2 linked regions of the Macaca fascicularis genome follow. The protein of the gene in region 2 purifies or fractionates together with the protein of the main gene of each other region. This does not show direct contact. Links are inferred from orthologs where the notes say so. Each region holds a gene or a part of one and is shown on either strand. Other genes may lie near its edges.

Region 1 (4,497 bases), on a different chromosome or scaffold from region 2:
TGGCTGGAAGGGTTGTTGTTCTGACCCCGGGCCTGTTGTCTAGGCAACTGGAAACCTTGCGATGGCCCTTGAGACTGTCGCTTTAGGCCCCCGGGGTGCTGCTGGGGCCCCTGGTGCGGTGGGCTCAGGGCCCTCCAGGGTCGCGGCCTCTTCGGGCAGCCCAAGTGGAGAAACTTGGCTCTCCTGTCCTGTCAGTGCCCTGGCTCCTGAGGTCAGGGCCTGGAAGGATTTCGGGCAGAGGGGGCGTCTCTTCCTCTCCACCTTCTTCTCCTCCTCCTCCCCTGGTGGCGCCCCTCCCCGGGGCACCAAGCGCGTCCGTCCGCTCCGCAGCCTGGCTGAAGCGACAGTGACTCCGCCACCGGCCCAGAATCCCCACCCACCCCTCCCCAGGGGCGAGTCGGGGGAAGGGGAGGAGGCGGAGGAGGGGCGAAGGGCGGAGTCCGGGCGCGGGAGCCCCACCCTGTTCTCGCCCCTCGGCGAGGCCCCTCCCCCACCAACCCCGTTCTCGCCCCTCGGCAGGGCCTCTCCGCACCACAGAGACGTGGGACGGCCTCGCGGACTAGATAAGCGGCCCTCGTAGGCCCGCCAAAGCCCCGCCCCGCCCGCGTGCTCGCTCCACCCCTCCCCGCGCGCCCGGAGCCCCAGGCGCCGCTTCCTCTCGCGCTCGGGGCGTCGGCCCTCCGCTCGGGGGCGGGGCGGGAAGCGGCGGTGGGCGGAGCCTCCGGGGCCTCGCGAGGGCTAGTGGGCGGTGCCCGGCGGGCGCTTCCGGTTTCCGGCCGCGGGATGAGGGGCGGGGCCGGGGCTGCTGTGGGAGAGTTCGGCTGCTGCGGCGGGGCCTGCACGCTGACTGTGGGAAACTCGGTGAGCGGGCTCCGCGCGCCAGGCTGAGCTCCGGGACCGCCGAGGCTCCCTGGCCCCTTGACGAGGGAGAGAGGCGAGCGGCGCGGGGAGGCCCGGGGGCCGGGGAATCTCGGGGCCCGCAGCCTACCTGGGTGTGAGGGGCAGGGGAGAGGGGAAAACGGGCGGTGCCTCTAGAAGCTGGGCTCGGGGGCGGGGTGGGGGGCGGTGAAGCCCCACCTGGAGGAGCGGCCTTGCTGGGCCTCGGGGACGGTGTGCCAGGCCGGGGTCATGTCGGCGGGGCCCACGGTGCGCGCAGTAGGCTCTCGCTCTGGGTGGGCGCTATGGCCCTCGAGGGCTACTGGAAGGACCCCTGGCTTCTGAGGAGACTGCGTCTAGAACTTTCCCCGTATGGGGCCTTGAGGTGCTTGGTCTAGACCTGCTTTTGCGCTTGGTCCCGAATTCTGCTCTCTAGGAGTCGCTCTTGCGGGCCTCCAGCCCACCGGAGGCGAAGCGGCCCCGGGCGGAAGGCCGCTTGAGCCTCGAGGGAGGTGCCGGTTTCTCTCCGCGGGCGCCGTGGGGACGGTGGGAGGCGGGGGTGTCGGCAGCGCTTGGACTAGATGCGGCCTTGGGCCCGCCTGGTAGCGGGGATTTGGGCCAACAGAGCGCCCGCCTCTGCGGCTGAGTTCTGCCTGGCGGGGAAGGGAGCGTCCAATGGGTGCCGAGGCGTCCTCCTCTTGGCGCTCTGGCACTGCTCTTCCCGAAGAACGCTTTTCAGTTAAATGGGCGTCGGAAATCTCGGGCTCCCTGGGACAGGGATCGTCGGGAGAGGCCGCTCTGGACGTGTTGACACACGTGCTGGAGGGGGGCGGGTAACTGACCAGCGAACGGAAGTTTGTGGGGCCTGTGAACGCTGCTGGCCAAGCGGCCTTGCCTAGTGGAGCCCTGCTTCCGCCAGCGCGTCAGAGACTGTGAAGCAAAGTGCAGGGGGTCGAGTGGAGAGTGGCGGCCCCAGCCTCGCAGGGTAACTGAACTGGATGTTCTTGGCTGCCCAGCGCTTACAAATCCTGTTCCTTCTGTGCCCTGCCAGGAAACAAGCTCACATCTCCCTGTGGGAGACCTTCTAGCAGCAGGATGAGTCTGCAGTGGACTGCAGTTGCCACCTTCCTCTATGCGGAGGTCTTTGTTGTGTTGCTTCTCTGCATTCCCTTCATTTCTCCTAAAAGGTATGGCTTGTGGAGCAAGCAGGCGAGTTAGGCGGGAGGGTCCCTGTGCCCTAGCCCTGGGACTGGTGTGTGCAGCTGGTGGACCCTGGAATTGGAACCCGATGGAACAGGTAGAACCTGTCAGGGGTGGGGGTGGCAGGGGTTGTGTTTGTTATTGCCAACCCTCCCCAGGGTTCTGCTTCGTCATGACTTGCTCAGTTCCTTTTCCTGTGTCCCCTGCCTTCTGGTCTTCAGAATGCCCGCGAGAGGCAGGAAGATCCATGTTACAGTTCTGGAAATGATGCCCTCCCGCCTACTCTTGGCCCCCGGGGTCTTGGGATGGCAGCGTGGGATTCGGAAGACTTGCACCACTGGGTCACGTTGTTGCTGATTTGGTGACTCTTGTCCTAACTAGTCTCACTGGCATTGCGCAGTGGCTGCATGAACATTACTCAGCCTGTGGAGGATGAAGCCATATTCCCTTTTAATGAACAGAGGACCTGTTAAAAGTGAATTGGAAGTTAATTGTTAATTATGTATAATACCTGAACACGTCCCTATTTAAATTCACGTATTACAAATAAGGCCAAATCTCCACAGGTATTTTTAAAAACTGTTTTTTCATGAAAAATTATCCCTGATGTGATACCACAGAAAGTATGCAGCGCTGCCTGAGGAGGATTCTTGCAGAAAACCAAACCTTTGTACAGTTGACAAGACATGCAGAGATAGAGGGCCCCGGGGAGCTTTAATCTGGGAAGCTTTAGAGGACAGACAATCTGATTTCTACACAAAGCAAATTGGAAAAGCAAATGAAAGAGGGGAGGGAAGGGGGAGCTTCCATAAGAAGAGGGATTTAAGACATTTATCTACCAAATGCCAAATCGGTACCTTGCTGGGTCCAGATTCAAACAAATACTGTTGCCTACCGTGATTGGCATTTTCATCTCTAGCCCTGATGATGAGGGCTTCTTGTTGGTTTGAACAATATGTAAACACTTCTGAAGTCTCTTCTTAGAGCTGCATCCCAAAGCATTTGTGGAGGGAAATGATGTGAGGTCTAGGGTCCATCTCATCATAACCCAGGGTGGGGGGGGATATAGGCAAACCAAGGTTTATCATGTGGAAAGACAGTTTAAAGAAATAACATGTGTATGGGGCAGACATTTTGAATATTACAAAGGGGAGAACAATGAAAAGTAAGTTTCCCTTTTCAGAGACTATCAGTGTGTTTTCTTTTTGTTGCTGTGGTTTCTTTTTTTTTTTTTTTTTTTTTTTAATTTTGAGACAGAGTCTTGCTCTGTCACCCAGGCTGGAGTGCAGTGGTGTGGTCTCGGCTGACAGCAACCTCCACCTACTGGGTTCAAGTGATTCTCCTGCCTCAGCCTCCTGAGTAGCTGGGACTACAGGCGCCTGCCACCATGCGCAGCTGATTTTTTATATATATGTGTGTGTGTGTGTGTGTGTATGTGTATATATATATATATATATATTTTTTTTTTTTTTGTAGAGATGGGGTTTCCAGACGTGAGCCACTGTTCCCAGCCAACTACCCGTGTTTAAGATTAGTTTTCCAGGCCAGGCGCGGTGGCTCACGCCTGTAATCCCAGCACTTTGGGAGGCTGAGGCAGGCGGATCACGAGGTCAGGAGATCGAGACCATTGTGGCTAACACGGTGAAACCCCGTCTCTAATAAAAAATACAAAAAATTAGCCGGGCGTGGTGGCGGGCGCCTGTAGTCCCAGCTACTCGGGAGGCTGAGGCAGGAGAATGGCGTGAACCCGGGAGGCGGAGCTTGCAGTGAGCCGAGATCATGCCACTGCACTCTAGCCTGGGTGACAGAGCGAGACTGTCTCAAAATAAAAAAAAGATTAGTTTTCTAGACATTTCGATCTCTACGTGGACCAGCACCTTTTTTTTTTTGAGACAGGGTCTCACTCTGTCGCCCAGACTTGAGTGCAGTGGCGTGATCTCAGCTCACTGCAACTTCTGCTTCCCAGGTTCAAGTGATTCTCCTGTTTCAGCCTCCTGAGTAGCTGGGATTACAGGCACCCACCACCATGCCTGGCTAATTTTTGTACTTTATTTGTAGAGACGGGGTTTTCGCCATGTTGGCCAGGTTGGTCTTGCACTCCTGACCTCAAGTGATCCACCCACCTTGGTCTCCCAAAGTGCTGTGATTACAGGTGTGAGCCACTGCACCTGGCCTTTTTTCCAACGCTCTTGAATGGATATCAAATTAGAGAATTGCAAGCCACTGAGGCTGACTTTGTGTGGGCTATTCGGCCATTGGAGAAGAGTGCAAAGCTGGATTTCCATTTTGCTCAGGGCCCTAGAGCCCATGTGTGTGCTTTCTCTTCAGCTCCCGTCCTTTTTGTCGTCTTCACAGATGGCAGAAGATTTTCAAGTCCCGGCTGGTGGAGTTGGTAGTGTCCTATGGCAACACCTTCTTTGT
Region 2 (3,770 bases):
TACCTTCTTTTGGTTTTGCCGGCCATGTCATGACAGTTATTTGTTGATCTACAACAAATTCCCATGTTCCATACAATGGTCACTATTTGGGTAATGGGTACACTAGAAACCCAAACCTCACCGTTACACAATACATCCATGTAACAAACCTGTACATGTATAGCCTGAATCTAAAATCTTTTTTCAAAATAAAAATAAGCCAGGTGTGGTGGCTCATGCCTATAATTCCAGCACTTTGGGAGGCCAAGGCAGGCAGATCATCTGAAGTCGGGAGTTCAAGACCAGACTGACCAACATGGAGAAACCCCGTCTCTACTGAAAATACAAAATTAGCCGGGCATGGTGGCATGCGCCTATAATCCCAGCTACTCGGTAGGCTGAGGCAGGAGAATCGCTTGAACCCTGGAGGTGGAGGTTGCGGTGGGCTGAGATCATGTCATTGCACTCCAGCCTGGGTGACAACAGCGAAACTCCATCTCAAAAATAAATAAATAAAATAAAATAAAATAAAAATAAATAAATACTCATGTTCCACGTGGGTTGGACAACTTACCAATCCATTCTCAGATTTTGTTTTCAAATCAAGCTTTATTAAGCCAAATCCTAAAGAAAGAAGAAGACAACTGTTAATAGGTTAAATAACTATCTAGAGAACAGCACCTCTGCCTCCCTCACGGTTGCTTCGAAATGCTTTTTTAGAAGAAGTACACTACTGCCACACGGGCTGAGGGCACCCAGTCTCTGCTGCTGCTCGTGGGGGGAGTTCAGCTGCCATGGAACAGCAGCAGACAGAATGCGCACAGGCCCACCTGGGTCCCACCTGCACTCCCAGCAGGGTTTGAGAAGAAGATGCCTGACAGCTGGCAGAGACACAGTCATCAGGCCTCGTGGGCATGTGCCTAAGCACAGGCTAAATATAGAAGCCGCGCTCCACTGCAGCAGCTTCCACAGGGTTGCTCCACACTTGGAAGAGAAAACAGGAATACCCACTTGACAGCATCAATGCAGGAGCCCGTCCAACTGGGGGCACAACCAAAACTGCTTCATTTGCCACACAAATGAAAGCTGCTTTTTTCCTTCACGTGAAAGTTCAGAACAGCTGACCTACCCAGGTCTCCTAAACAGTTATCGGTAAAGTCTCAAACATGCCAACTCAGTCTGGGGGCTGAAAGGCACCCGCTCTCTGCAACACTCACCATAGCCCTTGGTGAAGACATCCCTGGCAGATTTGCCAAGATCAGCATACGTGGGTGGCACAGCCATCTTCTGCTATGATAAAAGAATCACCAGAATAAATGCATTGGTAATTAGGGAAATTAGCTTTCCATCAATAACAATTATTAGATGTAATTAGCAACCAATAAAAATCACCTAGCACTAAAACTTCCAGGTAGCTTATCCTCCCACATGGGCCAAGAAGCCCTTGCTGTCTTGTACTTCATTTTGTGGCCAGAGCTTGAGACACTCAGTGAGTCTTTGTTGACAGAGGATCAACAATTTAGACCTCTCCTCCTCAGCATCCCCAGGACTGAGCCCAGGCCCAGAACAGAGTAGGAGTCAGGAAATATTTGCTTAATGAATAAACTGTCAAAGACACATTCCCATGAGCCAATGTCTTTACTGAATTTTAGGACTGTTGCCAATAAAACATATCCTCTTATAAAATGCCAGCTACTAGGACATTAAATGCGCCGAATAGAAATAAGAGCTTTTCATGGGAACATCATTTTCCATGTGGCTCTGATTTCATTCATTCAACAAATATTTATAGAGTACCTACTACATGCCAGGATGGGCCCAACTTTTCACAAAACTTTTGGACTTTATGGGAACCCACTTCGTATTTCTCATAGGAAATACAGTAAAACCTAACCAATTTGGCAGCTGTTCACGTGGAAAAAACCCAAATACATCCTACAAATAAATTAATTTAAACAAACATTTTTTTAAGCTCCAGTGTAACTTTATTTTCAAAAATAACCATCAAAGGACTACTTGGGATTGCTGCATATCACTAAGTCAATCAACAAACATTTATTAAGCACCTCAGTGCTCAAGGAAGGAGAGTAACTCAAATAGTCTTTGCCCTGAGGAGCACACTGCAGTCCTGGAAGGCTTTGCTTTGGCATGCTGTATATGCTGTGTACACAGGATTAATATCCTCATCTGGGACTGTACACTGTGTGCTCTGCCCAGGAGCAGAGGGGGTCAAGCATGAGAAAGCCTCATCTCCTGCACCTTCTCCATTCCCAGAATCATTAGTCTCAACCAGAAGGACCATTCGTTTTAAAATACAGTATACCTAAATTATCAAAATGCATCTGCATATACACCATCTGAAGTTACATGTATATATACTCACACAAGTAAACACATGTATGACTTGCTCCTGGTGAGTGGGAGGGAGCCCACTAAAAAGTGGTTCAAGTGATCCTAAGGGAACAATATAACAAATGGAAGTTGCATTCTTGGCCAAAGCTTTAACTTCAAAGGCATTGCAGGAGGCCACAGACTCACTGAGTATGTTGCAAAAGAAACAGTATAAACTTCTACAATTTTAAATTGTGAAGTTGTGGTCCAGGTCCTACTTTACTTTTTCCAGATGCTTTGTTAATTTTATCCCAGCTCACTTTTGTGTCAGAGCAGAGACAGAAGAGCAGCAAGCTGTTTACTCTGTCCTATTTTTGTCGCTGCTATGTTATTTCTTGCACATGATCAAGCTGGAACCATGGACAGGTCAGCCCACATTAGGATCAGGATAGAGCGATGAGGAGGAAGAACCATTTTACACTGCCCGCCACTGGCTCTTTCAAGTCTGGGGGCTCCCCTCTCCCCACCTGTTCCTCCCTCCCAAACTAACCCTGTAGGTACATCCCCCTGGGATAGACAAGGAAACCATCCACCAGATCCTCAAGAAATATCCTTTGCCTGACCCCTTCCTAGGAGAACAACTCTGGATTGAAAGCTGAGGCAATGTAACCCCAGGCAGACACAGAACATAACAGCAAATGGCCCAGAACATTCTCCACCTGACAGGGTTAACAAACCATCAGTGAACCAAGCACCCCCCTTCAGTGCTATCTCTCCCAGCTGGGCTACAAACTCAGCTCGGGGTGGGGCTAGGGAGACAGGAGGAGAAGCAGTCCCGTGGTAATATCTGTGGGTCAGCTAAGACCTCCCTGGACCTTAGGAGCCAGAGCCTTCCTCACGACTCTCCCCTGACCCCACAGAAGAGATGCCTCCCAGACACAGTAGCCTTCACATCTGGACTGGTCCCCGCTCAGGATAAAGGCAGAACACTCATCCACTTAATGTTCCCCAAATGCCCTCTCTCATCACTAATCCCCAAAACCCAACAAGCACAGCCACCTGTCAAAAAGCACCCCACCCACAGCAAACATCAGCCTAAAGTACCAGGCCACTAAGGAGATTACCACCCAAGGACAAGGGACTCAGACAGCAGAGCTCAGAAGAGCAGACCGGACCCCTCCTGGGGCCTCTGGGAGCTCCAACACGGCCAAGCTCTTTTGGGGCTGTGGGGTCCCACAACCACCACGTAGTTGGTACCAGCAGCACACAAGTGAACTTGCTGGTTCACTAAAACATATCCTTATCCAACACCTCACTGTAAACATGCTGGATGCTGGCTTTCTCTTCTGTGTGTCATGCTCTCTTCCCCATCTCCTTGAACACAGACAATGAAGCATAATCTCCCCCATTCTGGACCCCTAGGTAAGCATTCTCCCCAGCACAGCACCTGGCAGGGAAGA

What was found.
Region 1: the proteins of VDAC1 (region 2) and BCAP31 purify together in Homo sapiens (affinity purification with western blotting; 3 studies listed by BioGRID, with this or other methods). This does not show direct contact. The link is inferred for Macaca fascicularis from reciprocal best matches to the Homo sapiens genes VDAC1 and BCAP31.

Annotation. Positions count from the first base shown.
Region 1 is NC_088395.1:159,779,604-159,784,100, reverse strand, and holds the start of BCAP31 (B-cell receptor-associated protein 31), read left to right. Parts: upstream 1-1,516; 5' UTR 1,517-1,551; coding exon 1,552-1,705; intron 1,706-1,924; coding exon 1,925-2,063; intron 2,064-4,431; coding exon 4,432-4,497. UniProt on the Homo sapiens protein: Functions as a chaperone protein. Is one of the most abundant endoplasmic reticulum (ER) proteins.
Region 2 is NC_088380.1:140,514,831-140,518,600, forward strand, and holds part of VDAC1 (non-selective voltage-gated ion channel VDAC1), read right to left. Parts: intron 2,434-3,770; exon of another isoform or gene 2,363-2,433; intron 1,270-2,362; exon of another isoform or gene 1,267-1,269; 5' UTR 1,264-1,266; coding exon 1,197-1,263; intron 604-1,196; coding exon 554-603; intron 1-553. UniProt on the Homo sapiens protein: Non-selective voltage-gated ion channel that mediates the transport of anions and cations through the mitochondrion outer membrane and plasma membrane.